4 linked regions of the Pelodiscus sinensis genome follow. The protein of the gene in region 1 interacts with the protein of each later gene in a biochemical or structural test. Links are inferred from orthologs where the notes say so. Each region holds a gene or a part of one and is shown in the gene's direction. Other genes may lie near its edges.

The links.
Region 2: the proteins of CDK2 (region 1) and RBL2 form a complex in vitro, tested with the Homo sapiens proteins (3 studies listed by BioGRID, with this or other methods). The link is inferred for Pelodiscus sinensis from reciprocal best matches to the Homo sapiens genes CDK2 and RBL2.
Region 3: the proteins of CDK2 (region 1) and ORC2 form a complex in vitro, tested with the Homo sapiens proteins (2 studies listed by BioGRID and IntAct, with this or other methods). The link is inferred for Pelodiscus sinensis from reciprocal best matches to the Homo sapiens genes CDK2 and ORC2.
Region 4: of the proteins of CDK2 (region 1) and CDC25C, one has a biochemical effect on the other in vitro, tested with the Homo sapiens proteins (3 studies listed by BioGRID). The link is inferred for Pelodiscus sinensis from reciprocal best matches to the Homo sapiens genes CDK2 and CDC25C.

The regions. Positions count from the first base shown.
Region 1 is NC_134729.1:4,334,156-4,342,129, reverse strand, and holds the start of CDK2 (cyclin-dependent kinase 2), read left to right. Parts: upstream 1-4,967; 5' UTR 4,968-5,103; coding exon 5,104-5,219; intron 5,220-7,462; coding exon 7,463-7,540; intron 7,541-7,849; coding exon 7,850-7,970; intron 7,971-7,974. Other genes in the region: melanocyte protein PMEL, read right to left, coding at 210-273. UniProt on the Homo sapiens protein: Serine/threonine-protein kinase involved in the control of the cell cycle; essential for meiosis, but dispensable for mitosis. Phosphorylates CABLES1, CTNNB1, CDK2AP2, ERCC6, NBN, USP37, p53/TP53, NPM1, CDK7, RB1, BRCA2, MYC, NPAT, EZH2.
Region 2 is NC_134722.1:33,781,287-33,788,982, forward strand, and holds the start of RBL2 (retinoblastoma-like protein 2), read left to right. Parts: upstream 1-4,694; 5' UTR 4,695-4,860; coding exon 4,861-5,046; intron 5,047-7,696. UniProt on the Homo sapiens protein: Key regulator of entry into cell division. Directly involved in heterochromatin formation by maintaining overall chromatin structure and, in particular, that of constitutive heterochromatin by stabilizing histone methylation.
Region 3 is NC_134717.1:73,602,630-73,610,447, reverse strand, and holds the start of ORC2 (origin recognition complex subunit 2), read left to right. Parts: upstream 1-4,812; 5' UTR 4,813-5,063; intron 5,064-5,067; exon of another isoform or gene 5,068-5,223; intron 5,224-5,265; exon of another isoform or gene 5,266-5,411; intron 5,412-5,759; 5' UTR 5,760-5,791; coding exon 5,792-5,882; intron 5,883-7,818. UniProt on the Homo sapiens protein: Component of the origin recognition complex (ORC) that binds origins of replication. DNA-binding is ATP-dependent. The specific DNA sequences that define origins of replication have not been identified yet.
Region 4 is NW_027465994.1:524,212-531,381, forward strand, and holds the start of CDC25C (M-phase inducer phosphatase 3), read left to right. Parts: upstream 1-4,156; 5' UTR 4,157-4,298; intron 4,299-5,245; 5' UTR 5,246-5,271; coding exon 5,272-5,459; intron 5,460-7,149; coding exon 7,150-7,170. Other genes in the region: oocyte-specific histone RNA stem-loop-binding protein 2, read right to left, coding at 3,001-3,078. UniProt on the Homo sapiens protein: Functions as a dosage-dependent inducer in mitotic control. Tyrosine protein phosphatase required for progression of the cell cycle. When phosphorylated, highly effective in activating G2 cells into prophase.

The DNA.
Region 1 (7,974 bases):
AAATCATCTACCCCCCCCCGAGAAATGTGCCCCCCCCGCAGGCTGATGAGAAGCCCCTGGACTTTAGTGGAGATGCTGGGGGGTTGTTGGCAGCAGCCCCAGTGTTTTGCAACAGGGATTGACCCTGAATTGGCTGGGGGTGGGTCAGATGGGACCCTACAGAACCCAGCCCCCCACCCCCCAAGCCCAAGGATCAGGACCCTACTCACTGTGCTGAGCTGTCGCCGCAGCCAGAAGCGCCCAGGCTGCCACCAAGTACCAGCTTGTCTGCATCTCCCAACCTGCCCCGCGCTCCCTGGGACCCCTCCGCGAAGGCAGAAAGAAGCCAAGCACCCCGGCCACCCTGTATAAGAAGGAGGCCTCATTTGCCTAGCCCCGCCCCTTTCCTGGCATGACCTCATGAAAATCTCATCCCCCCTCCCTCCAGCAGTGGGGTGTGTGGGTGATGGCCAGTCACAAGTTTGTGTTTCGAGCACAATGGGGCCGCATGAGTTGTGCCTTCCAGACAGACCCTGGAATTTCAGTGGGGAAGAACAGAGGCCGGTTTCCGCTCTGAGAAGAAAGGGCCTAATTACCACGGAGCTGCAGGAGGGACGCAGAACCCATGATACGACCTCACTGCTGGGTTGGGGGGCGAAAGGACAAGCCACTTCGATGCTGAGCAAAGCAGGTGCCACTTAGCACTTGGCAGGCCGGAGCTTCTAGCCACCCTCTCCCCAGGCAGGAGACAGGAGAGGTGCAGCACACGGAAAACTGACCAAGGGAGCTCACTGCTGCAAGATACTGAAACCAAGCACTTAGCAGCTGTAAACAAAGAAAGAAGCGGATGGGTATACAGTCCGGTTGTATGTATGATGTTAGCCCGGCTGAGAACAGGGCCCCACTGTACCAGATGCTGTACAAGAGACAGCTGCCACACACACACCCCCAAAAGAGTTTACAATTGAAATAGACCAAGTAGGCACACGAAGGAAACTTTCCATTGACTTCAGCGGGGGTTGGATCAGACCCATAAACCCACAGGGCTCTCAACATGATCCAGTCTCTTGTTCGTAGGGGCAAGGCAGAAATGTCTTTTGTGAGCAGCCAATTCCATAGTTGTCAACTTCCTGCTTTTCCACCTGAAATAGCAGAGACCGGATAGGTAGATTCCTCCACCATAGGTCCTATCCAGTGTTTGCAGGTCACATGTAGCTCCTTGATGGCCCGAGACAGCCTTCCGACAGCAGGAGTGGAGCAAAAAAGCTAACTAGTTTGATCAAATTGGAGATGCCTTCCAGTGGAACATTCTATAACACGAGTGACTTAGACCCGGTGAACATACAGACTTCACCTGATTAATTTAAGGGGTGATTTAAAGCCAGTCCAATTAAACCCATGCAACTTTGTCTGTGGACACTCTTGAAACTGGATTTAAACCCACCTTATAAAGTGTTTCCTTTTTTTTTCTGTTATAGAATCATAGAACACTAGAACTTATGAATTCTGAGTTTCTGTTATCCCTCTCCAGCTCATCTGATGAAGTGGGTTTTGCCCACAAAAGCTAATGAAACTATGTATATTTTGTTAATCTCTAAGGCCATGTCTAGACATTGGCGCTATTTCGGGATACTGGAAGTGTCCCAAAATAGCTATTCTGAGTCTTTAAACGCGCCCGTTATTTCGAAATAACGGTCATGCTATTCTCATTCCACGAGGGTTAAGGGACTTGTCGGAGTAACGCTTTATTTCAAAATTTGGCGATCTGTAGTTGGTGCCAAATTTCAAAATAAGCTATTTTGAAATTACCTCGAAATAAATTATGCCCTTTCAAGGTATGGGTGCAGTGTAGACACACCCTAAGGTGCCACAGGATTATTCATTGTTTTTAATATTAAAGACTAACATGGCTACCCCTCTGCCACCTTCTAGTGGTTTAGCATGTGTCTGTGTTTGTAGATGTGAGCTACGCTGATCGACCGTGTAGTAAATCACTAACTGAGATGCATACGGAGTGGGAGGGGGAGGTGGCTGGTGTTACTAAATCCACTCTCAAACCACTGTATATGAAACCGGTGCAACTCCTGCGTGCTCGGTTAGCTTGTGAATGGGAAGGAAAGACAAGCTGGATTACCTGGCTCTGTGGGGTGCCAGTAGTAGAACAAGGGCATGTAAATCAAGGGACCCCTGATTTTCCAGGTTTTGTTCAGGACAGGCCTGGCTTAGAGCGATTGCTGTGAATCACTACGTTCCAATCAAAATGGCATTGCTCATTGCAACCTGGGGCGATCCAGTAATTGACAAGGGGCTAACGGGACGTTGACTAGCCTATTTTCCTCCCATACAGAGCACCATGAGTAGAGCTGGCAGCACCGCAGGGAGCTGGGGCGTGGCGAATGGCCCCCAAAGGAGGAGTTGGGAACAGTGGCATCAAGCTGTTGTGGGATTTTCTGTGGTTCCCTGAAGCAAGGCACAGGAGACAGCTGCATGAGAGGCACAGCTGCATGTGCTGTCACCCTGTTTGCACAGGAAGCTGCTGCCTGCTCCCACCTCGGTTCAAAGGAACCGGAACTTTGTACCCATCATAAACAGACAAGCCACACTAAGGAGATACCTGACAGCATCACCCATGGCTGCTCCAGACCAGAAACTGACCTGGAAGGCCCCAGAATCTGCTACTGCTCAGCAAAAGGGGCAGCAGAACGAATGCCAAATCCTGTTCTGAAGCCCAGTAAGCTCTTGGCTGTGGCAAGACCATGCAGCAGTGAGTTCCGCACGTTAATTATGTGCGGTGCAAAGGATATTAGTAGCACCGGGGAGGGAATTTGTTTTCTAGATGTATCATTCTCACTCTGTCTGTGTCCCTTAAATAAAAGGAACAAACTGGGAGAGAGAATTCCCAGGAGTTATTGGAATTTAGAAGCCAAACTTCCAATGATTTTAATGGGAGTTAAGTGCCTAAATTCCTTTGCAGATCTGGGCCCATGTGTTCAGGATATTAGCCTGCTAAGAAAGTGATTGCTGCATCGCTTCCCCCCCAAACACTAGACATATCAGCAAAATCCTGTTTAATAAACCCATGTTTCCCTTGTGCCCTTATGTTTACCACTTTTATTAGCCCTTGACAAATTTTGTGCAAAATATGCCTTGTGAGTGATCATCTGAAAATCCATAATTCACTGATCATTATTGTCCTGTTAAAATAGGTGTGGCCACATTGTATGTAAAGTTATAAGATTCCATTGGATGATGTTACTACGGGTGTATTTCCAATCGGGGAAGAAGCACAAATAAATTCTTCAGTAAGTAAAAGGCAAACTGATGCTTCTGCCAGGAGTCAGCAAAACCAACTGGACTGTTCCCTGGTTAGGCAGCCCTTCTTTAGCAAGAAGGGTGCGAACAAGAAATTCACGGCTTGACAGAGGAACAGGCTGGCTGACACTTGAACCCCAGCTGGGGATGATTCTCAAAGAGGAGGAAAATGGGGAACAGAGGCCCCACCCCGATCACATCTTTCTCTTCATCTGTACTGGGGGTTTCAACAATATTTCAAAGACAAAGGAAGTGTCGGTGAACTGGAGAGGGGTCCTGGTGGAAGGAATCCAGCCAGACTGCTGTTAAAATATGGTGACAGAAATCCAGCTGCTCTTAGTTCACCTAACTAAGTAAAGTATTAGTTTGTGTTTTATCATTTATTTCTTTGTAACCAATTCTGACTTTCATGCCTTATTCCTTTGTCATCACTTCAAATCGATCTTCCTGTAGTTAATACGTGGGTTTGATTGTTTACCTAAACCCCTGTGTTTGGACTGAAGTGGTCAGGAATTTCCATTTGAGATAACCAGGGTTCGTGCATAGCTCCATAATGATGGACTTTCTCGGAGCGTGTACTGCACAGAGGGGGAGAGCTGGGCAGGCACCTGGAACTGGTGAACCTGGAACCCTTTGGTGAGGAGACCCTGGGCTCAGGGAAATGAAGAGAGCCCATTCAAACAATAAACCTGCCTCACACCAGCAACCCCCTGGGTGCCCGTTCAGGAGCTGAGCCCCGGCAGGCAGCAAGCGCAGCGTATCACCAAGACACACATGAGCTCATCACTCCGAATAGCACGCAGGCTCACAAAGTGTAGGACAAAACAAGTTCCCCAGGAACTCCGCGGCCTCCCACGGCCGGCTCTTTTGTCTGCCCGATTGAAGTTCCCAGAGCAGGTGCTTCTAGGCCCTGCTCAAGTCAGGAGCATCTCACCAACCAGCGGCACAGCTTTGTCGTGCTGCCCTGCTCAGTACGGCTCTGGCAGGCCAGGCAAGGGGGTCACGTGGCTGGCTGGCTGCTAGGGTTGAAAATCCCACTGCAGAGGAGGCCGTGGGTGCAGAACCTCCAAGGAAGCTTGGAGCCTCCATGCTTTTCAGGAGCTGGCTCATAGTGGTTTCAAAGGAAGCTGAAAGTCCTGGTTCCCAGCGAGGTCCTCAGGGCAGAACCCAGCCCTGGCTTCCTAGGCAGTGTAGAAACAGGGTCCCGAGCCGGGGCACGTGAACTGAAATAATAAAGGAATCGATGGGAATCCAACCCTTGGAGTCCCCTTCATAGAGACCCAGCCAGAGCCTCTGCAGGAGGGACAGGAGAGAGGACAAGTCCCCTGGGAGGGGGGGCACATGGAGTTAAATAATGGGGGAGTCTCCTTAGGGGAGGGGCACAGGGTGCATCCCCCTAGACACAGCTCAGGGGGCTCAAGGAATCCAGCAGGGGAACTGGGGAAATCACCCCAATAATACACGGAGCTGGGAGCAGCCTTTGGCCTGGCTCCCTCACTGACACCCATGGGGGGGTCCTAGGGCTTAGGGGCACCCTGGCTCCGGCCGCCCCTACAAGCGGGGAGGGCTGCTCCTGCCTCCGGGCCTGTCCCTTTAAGGAGACTCCCGCGTCGCCTCCAGCGCGCTCCTCCCCTCCCTCCGGGCGCCAGCCAATGGCGCGGCGGGTGGGGCGGGGCGAGTGGAACGCGGGAAGCAGCCGGGCCGGGGGTTACATTGTAGCCAGTTGGGGGGTGGGCTGGTAACCGCCGGGGGACGCGGAACGCGCTGCCGGGCCCGATCCCCGGCACCCGGGCCCGATCCGGGGCCGGCCCCATGGAGAACTTCCAGAAGGTGGAGAAGATCGGCGAGGGCACCTACGGGGTTGTCTACAAGGCCAAGAACAAAGCCACGGGCGAGGTGGTGGCGCTGAAGAAGATCCGCCTGGATACGTGAGTCCCCCCCCGCGAAGGGGCCGTACCCCCCCCCACCCGTTCATGGGGTAGCTCCAGCTTTGGGGGGAGGAGTCGGCACCTCCCCGGCCGGCTCGGGGCCTTCTGCAGGACACCGCCCCGGGGGAAGTGCGGTGCCCCGGGGCCTGCAGATCTGGCGGAGAAAGCCCCCCCCCCCCCCGGTCCTTGCGGGACGGGCTGTCAGTGGGCACTTGGCTTGAGTCCACGTGCAGCCAAGGTGGGGCGGTCTGAGCACTAGGACTGGGCATGGGCGTTACAAGTAGGGGTGCGGGGCTGCTGCAGCGCTCCCCCCCCCCACTTAAAGTGGTTTCCGTTATATCCAGGCGTTACAGTTGGGGTCAGAGGTTCTCAGCGCCCCCCCCCCCCATAAAACTTGTTCCAGCCCTGCTGGTGTTGGGGGGGGGGCACCCCATACCCTCTCCATGGGAGCGCTGGAGGCTTCCCAGCAATTCCCAGCTCCTGTTCTCCCTGGGCTAAGTCCACCCAGCTGAACCCGTGGGGTGATGGGTGCAGCAGGAATTGCATCCCTCCACCATTTCTACAGCCCCATTTCTGGTGAGTGGGGGAGTTCTGCCCCATACTCTTCACTGGTGCCCTGACAAAGGTCACGGGGCGGGGGGGAGAGACTCAGACCCACACTCCTTAGGCTTTGCCTGTAGCTGTGCTTAACAGCCATTCTCAGAATTAAGTCTGAATCTGGGGCTGGTGTCCACCCTACAAGGGGTGTGGGTCTCTTGGTGAGGTTCGGAGATGCCAGGGGCATGATGAATGGATTGGAAAACCCGCCTTGGAGGGACAGACTCAGGGAGGTCCGAGCGTTTAGCCTCACAAGGAGCAGGGTAAGCAGTCACCGGCCTAGTCAACAGGTTGGACCGCGAGCCAAGTCCAGGCCACCAGGTGTTTCTGAATAGGCCACAAAATCTTTGTCTTTACTTATTCGTTATTTATTGCTGGAAGACTTACCTGGTGCTGCTCAGGTCCTAATTATTGTGCTTGTCCCTCGTCCGGGGCAGATCCAGGTTTGTCTGCCCCCTGCGCCCCCTAGCCAGAGTGAGGAATGCAGCAAATGGTGCATTTTCCCCTTGCTACCTGATGAAGAGGAACAGCCAGCAATGTTCCCGTACGAATTGTGTGGGGGGGGGGAGTTCCCTTCCTAAAGGGTACCTGGGGGGTGGGAGGCGAGAGGCTCAGGGCTGGGGCAGTCCCATGGGGGGCAACCCCTTTCCCCTGCCTGGTGGCTGACTTTTTTGTACGGTTTTCTGAGAAGCAGTCCCATTCCAGACACATCCCATTTCCCTGGCACAACCCCTGACCTGGCTTTAAGTTATGATAAGAGGAAGCTGCCTACTGACCTTGGTGGTCCTAGCTCTCAGCATTTAGGAGGAGTCCTTGAACAGACAGACTCTCAAACTCTCTCAATACATCGCTGTGTGAAAAAGGGTTCCCTGGAGCCTGGGCCTTGACTGCCCTTGGTCTAAGAGCCCCTACCTGGGGAATCAGAATTTGGCCACTGCCTTGTCAGTCTTGCGGACAAAGGTCTAAGAGATGCAGTGGCAGGAAGTTGGAGGTCGAGTTGGTCTGGGAAATAAAGCCCACGTTTGTAACAACGAGGGTCATTCGCCACTGGAACGAGCGCCCAAGGGTTGTGGCAGATGCTCTGTCACTGGCCGTTGTTCGGTCAATGGGGTTGGGCCTGGCTGTATCCCAGGCCAGGGCTGCTCTGCTGCATGTTGCAGCTGGTGCCCTGTCCAGCAGCTGGTGCTCTGGCCCCTGGCGTGAGCACGTCAGTTTCTTTCTGGGAGTGGATGGGCAGCGCTCAGGGCAGTGCCTTTGGAGAGCCCTGGGCTCCCAGGTTCCGACCCAGACAGCTGGTTTGGTCCAGATGTGATTGGGGCAGGAGTCCAAGCAGGGCCTTGTTGGCTCTGGACCGATGTTAAGGATCCCGAGGGGGAGCAGAAGTTGCTTCCCTGTGTCCTAAGCTGCCCCCTCTCTTCGCTGTTGCTTCTACCCCAGAGGTGGCTGAGTTTCCATGGTGGTACATCGGGGTAAAGGGCTTTTGGCTTGTCACTGCTGCCCTCAGTTGGCACTTGTGTGGGCTGCAGGGCAGGTCTGAGCTGGGACAGAGTCGTTAGGCTGCCTGGTGTGAGGTCACTAGAGCGGGGCCGAATGGAGCCCCAGAATGGAGCTTGTCAGGCTCCTCATGGCTTCCCCCCCCACTGCAGAGAGACGGAGGGTGTCCCCAGCACGGCCATCCGGGAGATCTCCCTGCTCAAGGAGCTGAACCACACCAACATCGTCAAGTAAGTGGGGGAGGGCGTGTTATTGACATCTCAGGAGGGTGGCTGGGCTGCTGGGATCCAGAGCCCTCATCCCCCCGGGAGGGGGGGGAGGGAGCACCCAGATCCGTGACTTTCATGTGGCCGTCATCTGTGAGACATGGCTGGTCTTGGCCCGGCTCCCCAGCACGCAAGCTTGTCACGCTGGTGCTGCCCACTTCCATGGTTGGCAGCCCCAGCAGAGGCCGAGAGGGGCATGGGGCACAGAGTGCGAATGCCCCCAGCCCTCTAATCAGGGCAGAAGCCGTGACGTCTTCTCCTTCCTCTCACCAGGCTGCTGGACGTGATCCACACCGAGAACAAGCTCTACCTGGTCTTCGAGTTCCTGCACCAGGACCTGAAGAAATTCATGGACTCGTCCTCCGTCAGCGGCATCCCTCTGCCCCTCATCAAGGTAA
Region 2 (7,696 bases), on another chromosome or scaffold:
ACACCTCACAGAATTAATTATGCGGCATGTGTCTACCACAAAGGGCACCTCCAGTCCTCTCTACCCTCAGTTTCTTCTTGCTGACAGTGACGGTGCTTGGAACCTGCTCATCTCAGTGTGAGCATTTCCCTAGCTGAACTTGCTTTTCCTTGTAAATAGTTTCTATTGCTCGTTTACTGTTCTAAATAGTGCAGGTTCCATAGGGACCTATTCCCTGGCTTCAAGTTGTGTCACAGCTGGAATCAGCCCATGCTAGTGAGTGACACTCACTGCGACCATTTGCAGTGCTTAGCGGAAGCTCATAGAAGTGATATATGCCACATTTGCAAGTCCTTCAAGCCTTGCACCAGGCAGACATATTCATCTGAAGTCTTCTGTAATGGAGTCCACCTTAGCTCCGATGCATGAGCATTCAGATTCGGCACCAAGCACTGCTGGCCTGATGGCACCGCTAACTGGCACCGCTCACTAGGTAAGGCAAGGGCAAGTCTCCTGGACCTAAGAAAAACAGGCCCAGAACATTGATGCCAGTGGCCTCTCCCTGGTTTGTTCAGCAGACAACTCAGGCCTCTTCGGAGCATGGGTCCCCTTCTCGCTCCCTGGCCCGATCTCAAATGGTATGCCTACACTTATGTCGACACCCAAAAGTCATCAAAACAAAAATCACCAGAGGGTGTTCACACTTGCTCCCTTGGTCAACAGATCATGTCCACTTTGGGGACACCATCATCACCTATGTAGTGGGAAGGCAGAGCTGATCTGTGAACATCTTGGGTTTCCCTCTGAGTTCTCCCACAGCCTCAGCTGCTGGGAGCAGCATGATGAGTAGCTTTGTGAGCCCTCCATGCTGAGAAATGTCAAAGCAGAACAGCGTCTATACCCTTGCCCTCACACCAGCAGGCTGCCTGCTACTGTGTTCCCAATGCAGGACAAAACAACATTCCAATGATTTGTTCTTTGTTCCCCAAACAGAGCAGCTTACTCAGCTGTCAGATATCTCTCAGCTTTGAAAGGGGATAAGCAGCGGTACCTGTGGAGGCACCAGTAAATATAGCAGCGGTACCCCGCCAGGGGCTTATCCTGGTGAACCACTGTTGTCTTATTGCCTACCCTGGACTAACCTAACCTGGATCAAGATATGACTAATAAGTACCCTGTATCCTTTAAGAAATACTACTTAGTCTCCAAGGTAGATGGCAACTTAGTAGCCATTACTTCAAAAATCTGCCCCTATATTTATTCTCTCCCTACCCAAATGACCAGAGTGGATTCAGTCATCTGCCAGTGTAAAGGTTTTGAGATCATTGCCTTGGTGCTCAAGATTGCCAGCCATTTGGTTTATATAGTAAGGTTGCTGCAGTGTCAACTAGATCACTCACCTGGCAGTAGGTAACATAAAATTGGGTCACAAGGCAGCATGACAGTAACATGTATGAAGGATTTTTGTTCTGCCTTACTACTTTGCCACACAAATCAAGCTTGTGCACAAGGAGAATACGAAGGGTGCAACCCCCCCCCCCCCAGCCACCACCACCACCACCATGGTTCCCCAAGTAAACATGCTCCAGTTAACTGGGGAAAGGCAGGAGAGGTGCCCTGTCCCAGCCTCCCTCCCACATCCTCTAGTCGGCCAGGGGAAGGCTGAGGCTGATTTCCAGCTTACTTGGGAGACCAGGGTGGGGGAGATGCGGTCACATCTTTGCAGTCTAAATTTATGAAAAAGCACACCCACCCAGAAATTCCTGCATATGGGCCTGCAAATTCTGATAGAATTGTCTGTAAAATTATGGGCGCACTGCTTGGTCTACAGTAATGGACATACTTGATTTTGGTTTTAGAATGCCACTTTGTCAGGAACAATTCACTTTGAGACTACTGCATTCAAAGAAGTTCAGCTGTTTCAGGAAGTGAACAATGTGATGTATGTAAAAACCCATATGTTGTCTCCCAAAGTTCCCTGCAACCCTGGTCGTCTTGTAAGAAATATCATGTTTCTCTTTCTCAGAGCACTTTCCAGGGTGAAAAGTCTAGTATTATGTGGACTGCTATAGCATCTGGGAGCTGTAAACATGGACCAGAACTCCATTGGCATAATTAGTGTCTACATTAGGGGTTACACCAGTTCAGTAGTATTGGTGACTGAAAATTTTGTGTAGACAAGGCCTGAGATGGCTCTGAGCAGTGAGTTAGAGGGATACAATGAGTTAATGTTTAAGTTGTGTATTGATCTTATTTTGCACAACTGAGCTTTGTGCATATTAGCAGATTAACTTTTAAGGGAGACTTTTCAGTGGAAATTATCACTATTTTAAATCAATTAATATATTTATCACCAAACATTGTGATAAAAATATTTCATAATTGTTTTTTATTGAGCAGAAATCTATAAAACAATTGCCCTGGCACAAAGCTAGCTATGAAGACTGTGCCATGTTTAAAATAATAATTTTATCTGTTTTAAGTGATTTTATCTTTCTAATTCAGGAGGTTGTATTTATTATTTTTGTAAATAGTTACAGGGTAATTTCCAGTGGGTCCTTCTTAGTCCTCCTGAACATTTAGGCCATAACCGTGCAAAGAATGAGTGTACTTCACTTTCTGCATTGTATGAGTAATCCCAATCACTACAGGTTCACAGACCCTGATCTTCAACTTGTGTAAACTGCTACAGCTCAACTGAAATCCACTGAATGATTGCAATTAACACCAGCTGAGGATCTGCAGGATCAGGACCGTAAATTGAAAAGGTTTGGACAATTTTGAGCGGTTATAGCAGAAAAGTGTTTAAAACAAAAACTCAAATCAACTTGTTCGAATATGAGGAGACCAAACAGACACAGTTAAAATTTTTTACAACAAAGGCTTAAAATGTTGGCTTCACTTTCCCTGATTTTCAGTCTTAAATTGTATTGATACATAAGTTTGAAAGGATTGTTTAATTTCCCCCATCTATTCTTGGTGAAAAGAGCTACAGTAATGGATTTACTTTGTGGCCACTTCCTTTCATTCTGACACATTAGGTTTTATGCCTACAATGTATCTCCTATTAGGGCTGCTCTCCACTTTTCATTACAGCAGGAACAGCTGTGAGCCTGCTGCTAACTCCGCTGGCCCCACAGAGCTATCAAGCTGTTACAAATCTGCAGGCGAAAACAGACTAGGAATGGCTTGTTCAAGGAACAAGTGCAGTCCGCCAAATTGAAGAGGGAGTGCTTAAGCAAAAGGAGGAATACGCTGCTGAAGGAGATGTACATGGAACATGAGGACAGGAGAACATGCAGGTAACTGGAAGTGAGGAACCAGGATCATCTTGATGTGTGTGGTGGTTGTGATGGACCCCATGGCAGCTTTCCAGAATGCCTACATGAACAGGCACCCTCTCCAGCCCTTGCAGAACAACATTCCCTCCTCAGAGATTTTCATAGCTTCCTCTCCTATGGCCCTAGAACAGAGTGTGGGAGTCACTCACACTCGACCCTGAGGGATATGTCTTGAAACAAAAGGCTGTCCTTGCAATTGTGATCATACACATTCAGAAGCGGTCCGAAGCTCACTGTGGCAGCTGGTGCCCTAGGCGGAAGGTGCGATCGGCACCTGTGCCTGCATGGCTGTCAATGGCTGTGATGTAATCATGACATCATCAGGCGCCTGGACCCATGGTGCCCTAGGCAATTGCCTAGGTCCATGGGTTGCCCCTGTACGCATTCACATCCTTCAGTTCCTGCTCTGGCCTTCTTTTCTGTCCCTGCTATGTTCCCTAAATAAAAAGGCATTAATTTCTTAATGGGTAGTCTGCTTATGGCTTGTGTTGGAAAGAGGAGAGGGAGTATTACAGGCAGACACACTAATGGCAGGGACACCTTTCATAAAACTGTCGAAGTCTGATGTGCACTTCTCCTCACTGTGCTCTCATTGCTCGGGTTAGATGCTGAGTATTGCCCTTTCCCCTTCCCCGACAGATCACATCTCCCCTTACATTCACAAATACCGTGGAGCCCAGCGTTGGCTACCACCACAATGGGAATGTTTCATTTGTTGCCTTCTAACCTAGGCAGTAGACTGGAACCTTCCAGGGGCATTGGCTCCTGTGCCCTACACAAAGCTGGGGGGTTGTGTGTAATCATGAGGGGTAACCAATGAGCAGCAGCGGTGCAAGTAACATTTCCTCCAGGTCCTGTCCCATCGCTTCTTCACCGGTGCGGAGAGCCACTGAATCGGAATGTAACTCTGCATGTGCGGAAACCAAGTGGGGCGGCTGCACCCCTGCCTGCACGCGGCTGCACCCCGGCCAGACAAGCTGGCTGGGAACTGCCGCTGCCCCGGCCTAGCTCTGTGACGTGTCACGGTGCAGAATCGCAGCCCCCCCCGGACCGAATGCGAAAGGCAGCGCGGCCGCCACGTGGCCATTGTTTCACGCGCCTCCCCGCAGCGCTATTTCAGGGCGGGGCTCCATGCTGGGACCAGGCAGCGAGGAGCTGCGGAACCAGCCTGCCGCCTAGAGGCGGCCGGCCTCCTTCACAGCGCTGCGCGCGCCGCTACCACCTGGCCTACGCGTCAGGCCCCGGCGAGCCAGAGCCACCGCAATGCCTCCTGGGGGTGGTAGTTTTTGCTGGCTAACTGTGGGCCGGGGCGGCGGGCACGTCTTGCCGCGATAGGTCGCTGAGACGCCGTCGCCGGCGGCTGCGTAGAGCGAAGCGTTCTGCGCCTGCCGGAAAAGCGCCCGCTGATTGGCGGCGGCTCCTTGGGGGACCAATGGCAGTCCAGGGTTGGGGCGGAACTCGGTCCCGGGGTGGTTGGTCTGGGGCGGCGCAGGCGCAGTGCGCGGCAGGCTGGCGTTGCCCTCTAGCGACGGGGTAGGGGATGCCGGGCGAAGAGGACGAGGAGGCCGAAGCGGGGGTCGGGGGCGCCGCCTCCTCCCCCCCGGCGGAGGAGTGGGGCGTCCGGCAGCGTTACGAGGATCTCTGCAACAGCCTCAACATGGACGAGCGCGCCCGGGCCGAGGCCTGGCTCAGCTACCAGAGCATGAGGCGCAACTACACCCTGGAGGTGAGGGGCGGCCACGGTGACGGGCGGGGCGGCCGAGGGGGAGGGGCGGACGCCAAGCCCTAGTTGCGAGGGGGGGGGACTCGCCTCCTTTGTGGTTGCCGCCGGGACCCGCCTCCCAGCGGGGGGAAAGGCTCCGTAGCCCTGTGCCGGGGTCCTGCGGCTCTGCCCCGGGTGATCATGATGGGAACGGGGATCAGCTCCAGGAGGGAGCAGAGTGAGTCTGCAACAGGAAAAACGTAAACAACAGCGAGCAGTCCGGTAGCACTTGGAAGACTAAGGAAAGGTGCCGCTGGTATTCTGAGCGTTCCTGGTCCCAGCCCACTTCAGGTGACTGGAGAGTTGGAAGTCCAGCTCCAAGACTAAATAAGGGATGGAGGGAGGGATCCCCCAGTGGCTGTTTTGTTTCAGACCAATTCCACAAGCCTAATGCACAGAGACGGATTGGAGCTTAACTTCGAAAGTATCTTTCGAAAAAGCCTCTTTCAAAAGAGGCTTGCAGTCTAGACGTAGCCTAAGATGCTACTACAGGCAGTCCCCGAGTTACGCGGATCCGACTTATGTCGGATCCGCAGTTACGAACGGGGTTTGCTCCCCGTCTCCCTGGTCTGCTGGTGTCCAGCAGACCAGGGAGACGCGGAGGACCCAGGCAGCTTCTCGGTCCGCCGCCCGCGTTTCCCTGGTCTTCTGTGGGGGGAGGGAGGGGCGCAGCTAGTACGCCCCCCCCCCCCCCAGCAGACCCGGCTTTTCTCCGGACGCCTGTGGTAGAGCAGCTGGGGCGCTGCCGGTTGGTCCCGCAGCACCACTCTGGGCGCTACTGGACCAACCCGGCAGCACCCCAGCTGCTCTGCCCCAGGCGGTCCCCAAGTCAGCCGCTGCTGAAACTGACCAGCGCTGACTACAGGAAGCCCGAGGCAGAGTTGCTCTGCCCCGGGCTTCCTGGAATCAGCCTCTGATCAGTTTCAGCAGCAGCTGACTTGGGGATGCCTGGGGTTCTTAAGTTGAATCTGTAAGTAGGAACTGGCGTCCAGATTCAGCCTGTTGAGACTGATCAAAGGCTGATTCCAGGAAGCCCGGGGCAGAGCAACTCTGCCTCGGGCTTCCTGTAGTCAGCCGCTGGTCAGTTTCAGCAGTGGCTGAATCTGGATGCCAGTTCCGACTTACATACAGATTCAATTTAAGAACAAACCTACAGTCCCTATCTTGTTCGTAACCCGGGGACTGCCTGTATACTGTTTGTTGTTTTTTAAGTTTTTCCTATTACAGACTTAACCTTCAGAGGGATAGCTGACTATCTGCTCGCTGTCTTTTTTTCTTCCTCCCCTTCAACTTTTTTTCCTTCTCCTTCCTTCCCTTATTTATTCTTGGACCTGGACTTCCAGCACTCTGGTCATCTGAAGAAGTGGGTTGTGTCCATGAAAGCTCATAATACCATCTACATGCTTTGTTAGTCTACTAGTAGCACTTTAAAGACTATTTGTTGGTTTTTAATAATGGTGATGTTAGTGGTTGCACCATAAAGGGAAGGGGGGGGGCGTGTGGAGTCTCTCCCCTTACGATGTGTGAACTCAAGGACCTAGCCTTTTCCTAATGAAGGCAAAATCACCCTGTTAGTCTCATTTAGCATGGACGCTCTAATTGATAGCTTCAGGGGGTAGCTGAGTTAGTCTGTACTCAACCGTGGTCACCAACTGGTCAATCGATTGCGAGGGCTTGACCAGTCGATCGTGAGGTGTTCGGGCCACCCTCCTCCCCCAAGAAGCCCCACTACCTACCTCCAGCAAAAATGGAGGTAGTGCCTGCTTTCTGTGGGGTGGACAGAAGTCCTGCAGCTGTGGGGGCTTCCCTCCTCTTCAGGAAGGGGAGTTGGCCCCGGAGAAGGCACGAGCGGGGATTTCTCTCCTCTGCAGGAGGAGGGTCCTGGGAAGAGGCTGGTGCCAGGGACTCCCTGCCCCCACTTGCACCCTGTCCCGTGCTGCAGAACCCTGTCCCCTCTCTCCTGTTCCCCACTGGCACCTTGCCTCCACCCTGGCACGCTGTCCCCCTGCTCCCACTGGTACCCTGTGCCCTGCTGCAGAACCCTGCCCCCACCCCAGCAACCACTAGTACCCTTCCCCAGTACCATGTCCCCTGCTCTCACCAGCACAGTTGGGGCCACATTAGTGAGGCTTCGGGGGTTTTTGGCAGGAGGTGTGGTGTGGTGTGTGGGTGTGGTTTTTTTTCATCTCGTGTGGCCCCAACTAACTTTTCTGTGGGTCAGTGACCCCCGACGCAAAACAGGTTCCCTGCCCTTCTCATAAATAAAGACAATGCAGAAACTTTTTGTGTTTGACGTAGTATTTTTTTAAAAAATTAAGCCTGGCCAACAAACCCCCAGTTGGGACCAAGCCCCCATCTGGCTGCAGCATTATAACACTCCTGCACCCCCCCCCCAGGCCCTAGTTCTGAGCCTATCATACACTGAAACCCCCTGCCCTGAACCTCTCACATACCCCAACCCGAATTCCTGCACCCTCACAGCCACAAGCCTGTGGCTTGCTTAGTACCACAACCCTCCATCTGACCCCAACACTCCCCAGCCTGAAGCCTCCTCCCCAAACCAGCATCCCCTTCTCCACCTCCTCCTGCATCCAAATTTCCTCCCAGAGCTTGC
Region 3 (7,818 bases), on another chromosome or scaffold:
CTGACTGGGGGCAGGAGGAGCATGCAAAGTTTCCTCCGGCTTACCCTTGCCCTGGGAGGCGCACACGGCACTTAGAAATGCTGTGCACTCTTGGCAGGGCAGGAGGAGGCTTTGCATGCTAGCTACTGTTTAATATCGGCCTTTGCTTGCGTCTCCCCAGCCACTTCTGCTCAGTCAGTATGCAGGCATGAAGTCTCATAACGGTTCACAGAATCTGCTGCTGTGATTCCTTGAATTGTAGTCCTCTCCTTGAAAGCCATTTTAATTATAATTTTGCTCCTTTGCAAATGTTCTTTCTCTTACTTATTACTCTGTGCAATGCATGTCACTGTCCTATTTGTTTTTATTTTTCTAGCTAATGCTCCAAAACATTTAAGTAAATAGTAGTTACTTATTCTAGCAATTCTTTCTGTGATTCCCTTATAGCAGTGTTTCTCAAACATTTAATAAAGTGCCCCTTTAAAAAAAAACAAAAAACTAAGTACCTCAAGTACCTACAGTTTTCAGACACACAATTTTCTTGCTACCATTGGAACACATTTGTTTAAACAACTTAATTGTAGCCAGGCAGGTGATGAAATTTTTGGGTGTAAAAAGTACAAAAATAATAAAGTGCTGTAAAACTTAAAACAAAAAATCAGTTTCTCCCACTGTGCTGACATACCCCCCCAGCCTCTCTCAAGTACCCCTAAGGGTACTCGTACCACTGGTTGAGAAACGGTCTTATAGCACTGGCTACCTTTTTATTGTTATGGAAGCATGTTCTTGGTGAACGAGGGCATATCATCCAACCTGTCAGCCTAACGAAAAAACCTTTCCACTGCTTGAACCAAAGCCGATCAGAAGGCATATGGGAAGACGCACCTAAACCCCTCTGAAAGCTCCCTTAGTATACATGTGTGTCACTCCATGAGTATACAGAATGGAGAAGACTCTGTAACACACAAGGCAGGGAAGCACTGCTGCATGGGAAATCCCTGCTCCAGAAGCTAATGACCCCTCACCTACATACACGCAGATGGGTGATTATCAGACCATTTTGTTATATCGTTTGGCGTTCCACAGTTTAGGAAGAAATCACTAGAAACACAGAGAACTTAAACAGTTGCAAGGGTCCATTTTATTTCATAACACAGAACTAGCTAGAACCAGCCCAAACCGGCGGGGCTAACCCCATGTGACCTAACTCAGTTACTATAACAAGATCTATATCTACAACCCCATACACAACACCTTCCACCTCTTTCAACAGGGCAACTCAGCATTGGCACTCCAACCATGTGGGGAAGGGGCTCCGAGGCTTGGTGCCCTGTCACATTATTGGATTTTAAAGTGAGCAGAAAGATCACTGTTGCACCATGGGTGGTGTTTGCCCCAAATTCTGTACAAAGTGGGCCATGTGAGGTGTCAAAAGCTTATACGAGTCTGCTGATTCTATGTATGCTACTCATCTACTTCTATGGTGTTTGTATGTGAAGTTATAAATATGGGCTCTGTACTTGTACTGTAAATAATTTCTGTCTCAGAGGGAGCAAGGGGCCTGGCCTGCCTATTGTGAGGAATGATAGTTCAGTGAATGGCTGTGCTAATTAGCCACTGCTTCTTGGATAATGGCTCTCAGAGTGGCTGATAAACACCTGAAGAATATGTTTGGAAACCTGCAGTTCCAGCCAATGCCTCATGGCTGCTTGCACGTGAAGCTCAAATTTGGGCGACACCAGGAATATAAAAATCCCATGAAGGCATCTCTATCTTGTCTTCAATCTTGCTCCTGATTCCAGATGAATCCTTGCTAGGGACAGAGAGCCAGGAAGAATTGCTGACCCATCCTGACACAGGATGTACACCAGAGACTTTTAAGCTAGCAGTTTGTAACATCTCTCCTAAGAGCCTGCATCAAGAACTTGGTGATTGATGTATGTAAATCTTACACAACCTTTTCTTTCTTTTATTAATCTTTAGATTCTAAAGGATTGACTCGGCTTGCTCTTGTGGGTAAGATCTAAAGTGTAAATTGTCCTGGGACTGTGGCTGGTTCTTTGGGACTAGGAGGATCTGTTCTGAGTGGGTGAGATCAGGTTTTATAACCTCTCACCTTGTGTGTAAGGTGCGGGGCTGATTGTGGCACAGGGAAAGCTGGAGTGCCTGAGGGGTTTTGCTTGTGAGGCTTCCTGCTGGCAAGACTGGTAGCTGAAGTGCTCTGTGTGACTGGTTTGTGGACTATTTGGGAAAGGTCTCCACTCGAGGGCTGTAAGTAGCCCTGGTTTTGAGCAATTCACCCTGAGCTGATGCCCTCAGTGGTGCCTAGACCAAGCCTGGTCCGTCACATACCCCCCCCTTCCCTGCATGGCTGGAGCAACAGTACCATCTTGTCCTGCTGTAGGGGAGAAGGGGGCCCTGAGCCTCATGGACTGGATCCAGGCAAGCTGCAGGCTGCATCCCGCAGCAGGGAAGCAGCTCTGTGAAGAGTTGCACAGGGAAGCTCCATCCCTACATTCACTTGCAAGCTACACCCCCGTTGCTCCTACTAGCCAGTAATTGCAGCCAGTGGGAGTAGTTTCCTATAAGCACAAAGCCATGCAGAATAGAGATGTAAGATTGTAACCATTTTAAGTTAACCAATAAACATCAGCTTACTGGTTTCCATTATGATTACATGCAATATCCTGGCTGCCAGCCCTGCTCCCAGGGAGCTGTCACCACGCGCTGTGGGCTCTGTAGTCTCTGAGGCTACATCTACACTACAGGCGTTTTGCACAAAAACTTCTTGCACAAGAGAACGTCCACACCTCAAAACACATCGCTTTTGCAATGCGCTTTTGTGCAAGAGAATGTCCACACTGCATGGACGCTCTTGCGCAAGAAAGCTCCAATAACCATTCACAGAATGGCCATCAGAGCACCTGTGCTTTTTCAGATAGGCTCTTTTTGCACAAAAAACCCCTGAGGAGCATCCACACATGCCTTTTTGTGCAACAGCTGTAGTGCAAAAAGGAGTTATGCCTTATATAAGGTTTACCTACACTGCAAAAAGCCCTATGTTCTGCCGTTTCACCGTTGATTTCCTTGCGCAAAAGCATGCTTGAGGTGTGGACGCTCTGCGGGTTTTTGCGCAAAAACCTTGTTGTGTAGATGTAGCAAGAGACCTTTTAACTATGTATAAGTATGTTTGCTGTTTGATGTGAAAACTAAAATGTTCCTGTTTGTGTCTTATAACAATAACAGTTTTATATTTTAAAAAACACCTCTCTATCATTGTGTCTGTGTGAGAAACTAATTATTCCTTCCTAAGTGGAATACTTTATATCTCTACTGCCTAAATTTCATCCTTTCTAGCTCAGATAATTTGCTATGTTTGAGTTCAGCAAGTTGGGTTGAGGATTGGCCCTTGAGTTTCAGCTCCCTGCTTTACCTCTGTTCTTGGGCGCTCTAGTCCTGCAACATCCGAGAGTCCTGGCCCACAGATGTTCAATCTGTAGTTTGTGAGATTTTTTTTTAAGATAACTTGATTTTTACCAATTTTGGAAATAGTACATAATACCCATTGTTTATGCCAAGCTGCAGATACAACAACACCACATTAGCAATTATAAGAACTAAGTCACAAACATAATATCAATTACAGCAGTGGTCTCCAACCTTTTTACACCCAAGTTTACTTTGTGTCAGATCAAGCCAAGATTTACCCCCTCTCCTTTCCCTGAGGCCCTGCCCACTCCATTTCTGCCCCCCCCCCCCCAATCACTTGCTGTCCTCAGCCCTTACTCAATTTCACTGGACTCTGGGGTAGGAATAAGGCAGTGAGAGATGTAAGCTCTGGGAGGGAATTTGGGTGGAGAAGGGGATGCTGGCTTGGGGAGGGGGTTCCAGGCTGGAGAGTATTGGGATCAAGTGGGATGCTGAGCAACTTTCAGGCCATGGAGAAAATGCCTGAATGCTTGTGGGAAGCAGGGTTTTGCATTTCCTCCGCCTCAGTGTATCCAGCCCACTGCAGGAAAAAGAAACCCAAATCAATTCTACAGGGAAACCAGCTCTGCTGAAGTTTTGAAAGGGACCCTGCATCGCCCCGCCCCCCAGCCTCGGGTCACCCTGCATCGCCCCGCCCCCCCAGCCTCGGGTCACCCTGCATCGCCCCGCCCCCCCAGCCTCGGGTCACTCTGCATCGCCCCGCCCCCCAGCCTCGGGTCACTCTGCATCGCCCCGCCCCCCAGCCTCGGGTCACTCTGCATCGCCCCGCCCCCCCAGCCTCGGGTCACCCTGCATCGCCCCGCCCCCCCAGCCTCGGGTCACCCTGCATCGCCCCGCCCCCCCCAGCCTCGGGTCACCCTGCATCGCCCCGCCCCCCCAGCCTCGGGTCACCCTGCATCGCCCCGCCCCCCCAGCCTCGGGTCACTCTGCATCGCCCCGCCCCCCAGCCTCGGGTCACTCTGCATCGCCCCGCCCCCCAGCCTCGGGTCACTCTGCATCGCCCCGCCCCCCCAGCCTCGGGTCACTCTGCATCGCCCCGCCCCCCAGCCTCGGGTCACCCTGCATCGCCCCGCCCCCCCAGCCTCGGGTCACCCTGCATCGCCCCGCCCCCCCCAGCCTCGGGTCACCCTGCATCGCCCCGCCCCCCCAGCCTCGGGTCACCCTGCATCGCCCCGCCCCCCCAGCCTCGGGTCACTCTGCATCGCCCCGCCCCCCAGCCTCGGGTCACTCTGCATCGCCCCGCCCCCCAGCCTCGGGTCACTCTGCATCGCCCCGCCCCCCCAGCCTCGGGTCACTCTGCATCGCCCCGCCCCCCAGCCTCGGGTCACTCTGCATCGCCCCGCCCCCCCAGCCTCGGAAGGGAAAGCGGCAGCCCCGGCTCAGGGTCCCCCTACTCCTCTGGGGGCCCAGCCCCCCTGCAGCAGGGCCAGGGGGTTGGCGGGAGCAGCTGCCTCTGGCCCCGCTTCTACTTCCTGCTCCAGGCTCCACCCGCCAGCCTGAGGCCCGGCCAGTCACGGGGCTAGCAGCCTCCCACGCGGCGCAGCTACGTGCCTGCTCCCCGCAGAGCTGCGTGCTGTTCCACGCAACAACGGCTGGTACCTGCTCGCCGGGGGGCTCGTTCCGGGAGCCGCGGCGCTCCCCCATAAGTCAGTGGCGGTTGAGGCGGTTGGCCGGCGGGGCTCCGCGAAGTACGCTGCGCGCGCTCCCCCCCGGCTCCCGGGGCGTGACAGCTACAAGGGGGAGGAGTCTGGGGGGGGGGGGCAACCGCCCTTTTGGCCCCGCCCTCTTTCCCACGGAGGTGGGGCATAAGTACGTCAGCGGCCCCGGCGATCGCGTTTCCATTGGGGGCAGCGCAGGCCCCGCCCTCTCGAGAGGCTGCGCGTCCTAGGATGAGCCTGGCGCCCGCCGGCTCGCGCTGCTGCTGCCCGGCCTTGGCGTGCGCCGTGAGTCGTGGGGCGGGGCGGAGAGGGGCTCGCGGAGGTGTCCTGCGGCCGGGAGAGCCCGGGGGGGGGGGGATCGGAGCTCGAGGCAGCTACAACTTCCGGGAGCGCGGGGAAGGCCAGGAGCCGCTTTGCAAAGCTGCTGGGTCCAGCGCCGGGCAGAGGCCCCTCTGAGCCCCCCCCGCTAAGTCCTCTGCAGCGCCCTAGCCCCCGTGGGAAGCCCCCGTGCTTAGCCTCCTGGCTGTTGCGGGCGGGGTGCGCGCGGCGGGCTGTGCTCCCCGAAAGGGCGTGCGGAGCTGCAGGTTTGCATAATGCGGGGTGGCTGAGCAATGCCCGCTTCTTCTTGCCTAGTTATTGTTCGCGGGCGTTGCAGACTGTCTGCTATGAATCAGCTGGAGGTAAAGAAGAGCAAGGTCCTGGAAGCCAAATTTGTGGCTGATGAAGATGTCCTGAAGCACATTGCTGATAACGGAGGTATTGCTGTTTTACCTGTAAACAGACATCTTATTTTGCGGATATTGAAATGGGTACAAGTTCAGGATTGTCAAAATGATTGGTAGCTTCTGGGTGCCCAGCAGTAAGCATCTTGGAGGAGTCTGCTCAGATAGTGAGTGCATAACACTTCTTACTAATGAGGCCGCTGTAAAGGCATTTTGTGTTTGGTATGTGAAAACCAAGGCACCTAAAATCACTAGTTGCTCCTGAAAATTTTGAATCTTAACAACCTGTATATTCCCAAAGGCTGTAGTGTCATGTAAGTGCCTCCTTTTTAAAAATTTGACTTGGGATTTCTTTTGATGGTGTTCTGTGTGCTTTTGACTTTGAATCTCTCTGGACAAGCACATTTGTGGGACTCACATCCTGATACCTGCAGCTCTGCAGTGGCAGTTACATTTCAGAATTTCACTGATGTAATTACTGGAGTGGCTATTGGTATGAAGTCTGGAAGTAACTATGAAACAAAAGTCATGTTAAAGTTTTACTTGCAAACCCGAATCAGTTCCAAGTTACAGTTGGCTGTTGGAACAGGTGCTGTCTTGAGTGCCACTGTGGCTTGGCTTAACTTGGTAAAAGAAGCAGAGACATATAAAAAGAGATTTTTTTAAAAAGTGGACATGAAATCCTAGTGAAGAAAATAAAAAGTAGCATAAACTTTGTCAAATTAAGTGCAAAAAATATAAGAAAAGCCAAAAAGGAGTTTGAAGAACAGCTAGCCAAAAACTCAAAAATGTTTTATAAGTACATCAGAAGCAGGAAGCCAGCTAAACTACCAGTGGGGCCCTTGGATGATTGAGATGCTGAAAGAGGGCATTCAAAGATGATAAAGTGATAGTGGCAAAACTAAATTAATTCTTTTCTTCAGTCTTCACGGCTGAGGATATTGGGCAGATTCCCAAACCTGAGCCATTCTTTTTAGGTGACAAATCTGAGTAATTGTCCCAGATTGAGGTGTCATTAGAGGAGGTTTTGGAACAAATTGATAAATTTACCAGTAACAAGTCACTGGGACCAGATTGCATTCACCCAAGAGGTCTGAAAGAACTCAAATGGGAAATTGCAGAACTGTTAACAGTGGTTTATAACCTATCCTTTAAATCAGCTTCTGTACCTAATGATTGGAAGATAGCTAACGTGACACCAATATTTAAAAAGGGCTCTAGAAGTGATCCTGGCAATTACAGATCAGTAAGTCTAACATCGGTACTGGGCAAATTAGTTGAAACTACAGCAAAGAATAAAATTCAGACTTATGGATGAATGTAATTTGTTGGGGGAAAGTCAATGTGGTTTTGGTAAAGGGAAATCATGCCTTACTAATCTGCTACAGTTCTTTTGAGGGGGTCAGCAAACATGTGGACAAGGGGATCCAGTGGATATAGTATACTTAGATTTCCAGAAAGCCTTTGACAAGGTCCCTCACCAAAGGCTCGTAAGTAAAGTGAGTTATCATGGGATAAGACAACTTTCATGGATTGATAACTGATTAAAAGACAGGAAACAAAGAGTAGGAATAAATGGTAAGTTTTCCAAGTAGAGAGAGGTAACTAGTGGGGTCCCCCAAGGGTCTCTCCTGGGACCCATCATATTCAACCTATTTATAAATGATCTAGAGAAAGGGGTAAACAGTGAAGTGGCAACATTTGCAGATGATGCCAAACTGTTCAAGATAGTTAAGACCAAAGCAGACTGTGAAGAGCTTCAAAAGGACCTCACAAAACTAAGTGACTGCGCATCAAAATGGCAAATTAAATTTAACGATAATAGATGTAAAGTAATGCACATTGGGGAAAAAATAATTCCAACTACATATGCAATAACATGGGGACTAATTTGGCTAAAACTATTCAAGAGAGAGATCTTGGAGTCATTGTGGATAGTTCTCTGGAAACATCCACTCAGTATGCAGCAG
Region 4 (7,170 bases), on another chromosome or scaffold:
GATGGACAAGAACACCACTTGTGCTTCAAATTCCTTGATCCTTCTTCCCAGTGCTACATAATCTGCAGTGACCCTCTCAGGGTCGTTCTTGGCCGTATCGTTTGTTCCTACATGGAGAAGCAGGAAGGGGTAGCAATCGGAAGGTTTGATCAGTTTTGAAAGACACTCAGTCACATCCTGAATTCAAGCTCCTGGAAAGCAGCACACTTTGAGATTCCAGATCTCAGCAGATGGATGACTCAGTCCCTCTTAGGAGGGAGTCCCCAACCACCACCACTTTTCTTCTTTTGGGGAGGGGGGTTGTGGACCCCCCCATCCCTAGGACTACACATCCCATTCCTTCCAGTAGATGGTGTTCCCTTCTGATTTCTTCCCTGAGAGGTCCCTGCCAAAGCATTCTCCACCGTAGTGCCTGTGCAGAGAGCCTGAAAGCAGTTACTTACCTCTACAGGAATGGGAGACACCTGAGTTGGCCTTCTTCTCCAGGAGATTACATGCTGCCAGTTCTCTTCCTTGTCCTGTACTACCCTGACTGGCTCTTCAGCCTGCTGTGCCTGCAGGGTTAAATGCTGCCTTCTATCGAGGAAATCTTCATCCTCTGACAGAACGTAGGGTTGATACTTGAGCCTCAAGTCCTCTAATTTTTTCTTCCAAAACGGCGACCAGCTTGCACTTAGTGCAGATGAAATCATTTCTGTCTTCTGGGAGGAAGACAAACATGGCACATGTGGTGCAGGTAGCAGCAGACCCATCACCATCTCACCGCCTTCTTTCTGAGAGATTTCTCACATGTTTTTAAATGCCCCTTTGAAGGGCAGAAGAGAAAAAAATTCAAGGAAAAGACCAAACACTATGGGTCTCTCCTCAGGGTGAACTCTCAGGCAAACTACCCTGTTGGCCACTCTGGTTGCCTTCTTATAAAGCTGATGGTAGGTCTGTCTCAAAGCCTTGCCTCTAATCCAATCAGACCTGAAGGCACTGGCCACTGTCAGCAGACAGGATACCGGGCTGGATGGACCTTTGGGCTGAGCCAGTACGACTGTTCTTATGTAATATCTGTATACATAGATAAGTTGTAGTTTGATCTGTGGAAGAAATTCAGTTAATCTATGTTCTTACTGCCATATTCTTTGTGGTTTCTGTAATCGTTATTCCTGTGGCAATAAAATTGATTTTCATTGCATTTCCTAATCTGAAGTGTGACTGTCAATCGTCTGCAAACCCTTATGAGGGGGAATCTTTTGGTTCTACCCACTTGTAACCTGGGATAGAGAAGATCGACTTAGAATCTCTGGTCAGATTGGCGAGCCTTACCCAACTAAATTCCACTATATCTCCTCCCCAGGCTACAATATGTACAACCACTTTCCTGAACAATGGGAATTCTGAGCAGGGAAGGAGCCTAGGAGAAGGGAAGTGTCTTATTCTGTGAGCCATGCACTTCATCCATCCTTCATCCCAGGGATTCTCAACATTGTTCTATTTGATGCCCCCCAACATGCTATTAAGAATTCTAGGGTCCAGCAGAGTTAGGGCGACTTCTCAGGGCAGGGACCTTGGGTGTAGGCATAGTTTGACTTCTATTTTGAGGGCATCAGGGCCAGCAGTGGTTGATCCAGCTCTGTACAGTGGGACAGTTGTGCAGGAACATTTTAAAAAGTGAGCGTGGTGAGCCCCTTACCACTGTCCAGCTGGCATGTGGGGCTGGGAGTGCTGTAGCACTCCCTATACCCCAACTTCCCATGCCTATGCAGTGGGGTCCACAGAAAGAAGCCACCTTCACCCCAATTCACCTCAGCAAGTCAGCCTGGCTGGGTTGGGGGGAGCACAAGCAGAAATAATTTAAATGTGGTGGGCACAGTGCAAAAAGTTTGAAAACAGCTTAGAGTGCAGAGAGGGAGCAGCTAGGGACTATGTGCTGACAGGGGGTATCTCAGGATGCAGGGAGGAGTGGTGGCTAGGAGATGTATACAGAGAGGAGCTGGCTTAAGGTGCAGGAAGAGGGTACTATGGGCTGTGTGCTGGAAGGTGTCCCCTGCAGTCCCTGTTCCCAGAAGGGCCTGCCAACCATGGAACTGCATCTCTCCACTTGGGTGGCTCTTACCTGCTGCCTTTGTGGGTGCAAAGGGGGCTGGAAACTAAGGAGCAGATTCAGTCTGGGGCACCAGCAGAAGACGAGGGACAACGGCTGCTTCCTGCTCTGTGGCACTGGCCAGAGCAGCCGCTATCCTGCATTGCCTGGCTCTAGCTTTCTGCATCCAACCTAGCGGGAGGGCAGCAGGGAAACAAGTGGGGAGATGTACTGGAGACAGGTTCTTACACTACTATTTCAGGATACAAGAGGGGACAATGTCCTCCATATCTCCAACTCTGTTCCAGAAATTGGCCAGAGCAGCCGCTATCCTGCATTGCCATTTTGCACAAGGGGCTTTTGCACTGCTCCTTCTTGCGCAAAAACCCCCTCTTGTGCAAGAGCCGTTCTGCCTGAAAATAAGCAGCAGAACAGCTCTTGCACAAGAGGTGGCTTTTGCGCAAGAAGGAGCAGTGTAGACTGCTCCTTCTTGCGCAAAAGCCCCTTGTGCAAAAATAGTGGCTCATTAAGTATGCAAATGAGGCATGCCTCATTTGCATATGTTCTTTCACAAGTCTGGCCAATGTAGACATACCCTTGCTGTTTTCCAGCACAAATTGCTCATTCTTATGCCCTTGATCTCACTATATTAAACATGCTTATGCTGGAAGCCATAGAAATAATCCTAAATCGAGACATCTGGCAGTTCCCTTGCCAATTCTGCCACAGCACATCTAGCCATACAATGAGGCTGCACAGGGAGCTGCCACAGCACAGCAACATCAGGCCCAACATGAGCCAGGGAGACCCCATTTGGAGGGTTGCAAGCAGCTCCCTTGTCTCTTTGCCCCGTTAATTACATGCATTTTATCTCTAAGGATACAGTCAAATGTCTGTTAACTGTAGACAGACAACACATTTCCACCCACCTGTTTTTATCACATACAGATGCTGTTCCAGAGGTAGGCTCTTCACATCCCAGAACAAGAGGTTCGTGAAATAGAGAACTGCATGTCAATTACAGAAGAAAAATCAATTCTCCACCTTAGACAGAGTTTGCAAACCTTCCCTACAAGGCAGTGAGCTCAGTGATCCTACTACTCCTCGGCCGGAAGAACACACTAACTTCTGAAAAGCCAGTGCTTAGGCCAGGGACAGACCTCTCTTCTGCAGGTTGAGCTAGCTAAAAACTGAGCTTCCAAGAACAATTCCAAACCAAGGGCAGCAGTCACTGCCTGTGAAGGCAGCCAAAGGGCTCTGCGTAACAGAGTCTCCAAATGCCTGGAGAGGATGATCAGCCAAGTGAGACACAGGCTAGAAGCGTTATGCACAAGAAGTCATGCTAACAAGGTGCCAAGCACGCCCTGCTCCTGCACTTCTGGTCCTGAATAAGCCCGGAGTGCCGCCAGCGGGCAGCAAGGCCAGCTCCATCACCTAGGCCCAGATGCTTTCCTTCCTCAGGGACACTGCAGCAAGGGCCCCAGCCATGCACCAGCCCCTAACTGGAAAGCCACTGGCCCAGAAGGCGGGAGCCCGGGTGCCCTCTGCTCCTTCCCGTCCCTGTGCACCAGGCGCAGACACACCCAGCGGCGGCTTCGCTCCGTGGCCGTGCCCGAGCCCCGCAAGCGCCCAGCTCCCAGGGACCGCGGGGGCGGGTCCCCCAGCTCGGTCAGGGCAGCGCCGGCCCCACGTGGACCGGGAACCCTCCCAACGGGGCGCTGACTGACAGGGGAACAGCGCGAGCGCGGCCCACGCGCCCCACCTGCAGGCCAGCGGCTCCCAACCGCCCAGCGCGTGAGACTCTGGCAGCATGAGAGGCAAGCGGTGGGGGTGTATGCAGCACTACGTCACAACCAAGCAAAACCTTCCCCATTCGATAGGCCGGCCTCGCCTCACTGATATCTACGGCCGCAACCCCAGCAACCACGTGCTCCCGGGGACGGTGATTGGCCTCACAGAGCCACAGATGGGCGGAACCCCTTCGAGCGTCCAATAGAAAACGTTCCGTCCGCTTCTCCCCGAATAGGTGCGCACCTCGCTCGAGTCACGCGGATTTACCCAATCAGAGAGCGGCGATTTTGTTTGGGAGGGGGGCATCCTTCAGTCGTTCTGATTGGTCACGATCGGCACCAATCTCTGTGATTGGCTGGGCTCAGGCGGCAGGTTTAAGTTCCGAGTATTCTATTTTCATTCAAGTCTGTGGGCTCGGGACCTGGAGCTAGAGGGGGTGAGGCCAAGACCTGAGAGCAGCGGGCGGGAGGCCCCGGGGATGGGCGCGGGACGCTGAGAGCAGCGGGCGGGAGGCCCCGGGGATGGGCCCGGGAGGCTGAGAGCAGCGGGCGGGAGGCCCCGGGGATGGGCCCGGGAGGCTGAGAGCAGCGGGCGGGAGGCCCCGGGGATGGGCACGGGAGGCCGAGAGCAGCGGGCGGGAGGCCCCGGGGATGGGCACGGGAGGCTGAGAGCAGCGGGCGGGAGGCCCCGGGGATGGGCCCGGGAGGCTGAGAGCAGCGGGCGGGAGGCCCCGGGGATGGGCACGGGAGCCCGAGAGCAGCGGGCGGGAGGCCCCGGGGATGGGCACGGGAGCCCGAGAGCAGCGGGCGGGAGGCCCCGGGGATGGGCACGGGAGGCCGAGAGCAGCGGGCGGGAGGCCCCGGGGATGGGCACGGGAGGCCGAGAGCGGCGGGCGGGAGGCCCCGGGGATGGGCCCGGGAGGCTGAGAGCAGCGGGCGGGAGGCCCCGGGGATGGGCCCGGGAGGCCGAGAGCAGCGGGCGGGAGGCCCCGGGATGGGCACGGGAGGCCGAGAGCAGCGGGCGGGAGGCCCCGGGGATGGGCACGGGAGGCTGAGAGCAGCGGGCGGGAGGCCCCGGGGATGGGCCCGGGAGGCCGAGAGCAGCGGGCGGGAGGCCCCGGGATGGGCACGGGAGGCCGAGAGCAGCGGGCGGGAGGCCCCGGGGATGGGCACGGGAGGCTGAGAGCAGCGGGCGGGAGGCCCCGGGGATGGGCCCGGGAGGCCGAGAGCAGCGGGCGGGAGGCCCCGGGATGGGCACGGGAGGCCGAGAGCAGCGGGCGGGAGGCCCCGGGGATGGGCACGGGACGCTGAGAGCAGCGGGCGGGAGGCCCCGGGGATGGGCACGGGAGGCTGCCGCGGGTGACTCGGTTCGCGTTGCTCCTAGGTGGCGGCTCCGCGGGCCGCAGCGCCATGGCCGGGAATATCTCCCCTGCGGGACCCGGCAGCCCCCGTTCCCGTCTGGGTTTCCGAGCCAGATGCAGGATGGTGCTGAACTTGCTGAGGGACACGGAGGTCTCTCTGCCCTTCACCCCGGAGCTGCCCCGCACCCCGGTCACGGACCTCGCTCGAGGCTTTAGGAACCTCAGCACCTTGGCAGGGTAAATCCCATCGTGGCCACCTCCTCCAGGAAGAGGCCCCCCTCGGGTACTGGCAGTAGGTGGGGAAAGTCTGCCTGGTAGTGGGATGAGGAATAGCCCCAGGCACAAGGCTCCGATAGCCACCCTGCCAGCCAACGCTGTAGTAGGAGGAGAGGGGCTGGGCCATTCACAAGCTTGGCTTGTTCTGGGCTGATTTCTTTGCACCCAGGCTGCCCAGCAGGCAGAGACCTAATAGTGCGTCTGTTCTCCCTTTAGCATAGCAGCCCTGGTGGTGCAGGTAGCATGGAAGATGAAGCTGGGATGAAAGTCAGTCTCCTTGCTCAGCGTGAACCAGGGTGCACGTCAACTGGTGCTGCTACAAGGGCTGGGGCAGCAGCTTGCTCTTGAGGGGTGGGGTGATTGAGACATTGAGGTCTGAATTTAGGACAGTGGTCTCTGCCCTTTTGAAGCACAAGATCACTTTTTGAAGTGCAGGGTTTAACTCAAACCCAAATATCCCCGCCCTGCCCCTTCTCCAAGGCCCTGCCCTTGACCCACCCCTTTGCCAAGGCCCTGCCCTCCTCACTCTGAGGATGGGGTACAGGGGAGGGGGACAGAGTGACATCAGCACCCCCTGCCTCTGACTCCCCCACCCTGCACAACAAGCAGGAGGCTCCCAGGGGGCAGCTCTGAGGGTCTGGGCAGGGAGAGGCAAGGCAGTGTGGGGAGGGGCAGCCAAACCAGTCAGGATCACCTGTCAGAGGCTCCTGTCTATAAGACTCTGTCCCTGCTTTTGCAAGGAATTCTGAGCGGGCTTTTCATTAAAAAAAAAAAAAATCAAAAGTCTTTTGGTGTAAATAGCATGGCCACTAGAGATGTTAAATGTCGGTTACCTGAATAGCCAATTAACCTCATGAATTCTTATCAGTTACTTGACTATTCTATAGTCCCTGGGGGTGAGGCAGGGGCTGGCAGCCAGCGTGCTCTGGCCCTGCTCCTCAGAGGCCCCTGCCACCACTGTATCAGAGGCAGGAGCGCGGGGTGCCAGGCAGGAGCTAGTCTGCAAAGGGAGCCAGTTCAAAAACCAGTTCCCCTCACAGACCTGCTGCCTGTCACCCCACACTGCTGCCTCTGATACAGAGGCAGCAGCACTGCGTGGCAGCAGCCCCTATCCAGGGGCTGAGCTCCCAGACCTGGCACAAGCCAGGACTGAGCTGGGCTGCCAGCCTGCTTGGCTCCTAATACATTTGAAATGCAGAGCCGCAGTGGGGTAGGTCCCAGACCTGACGCAAGCCAAGACTGAGCTGGGCTGCTGGCTGGCCTGCTAAAAGTACTGGCAAGGGGGGAATGCGTGTAGTCTATAGCATTAATTTATAAGCTTTTGCTTATTGGTTAATCGACTACACTATTACATCCCTAATGGCCGCTAAACTTCTCGGGGGGGCCTGAGGAGCCATCTCTGACTGAAAGGAGCCATCTTTTTATAAAAGTGCCCTTAAGAGCTCCCAAAGTGGCTGACAGAGCTAATGTTTTGATGGGGGTGGATAATCTTATGGTTCTGGTGGCTCTAAGCGGGGGCATGATGCAGAAGAGAGTTCTGACAGAGATCCTCCTTTTGAGTCCAGTCTTCCATCAATCAGCATGTGAACATCCTGGTAATTGTCACCAATATTTCCATCCTGATGCTTTGGGTTTTGATGTGTTGTTGCAGGAATACGCCAAAGTGCTGTCT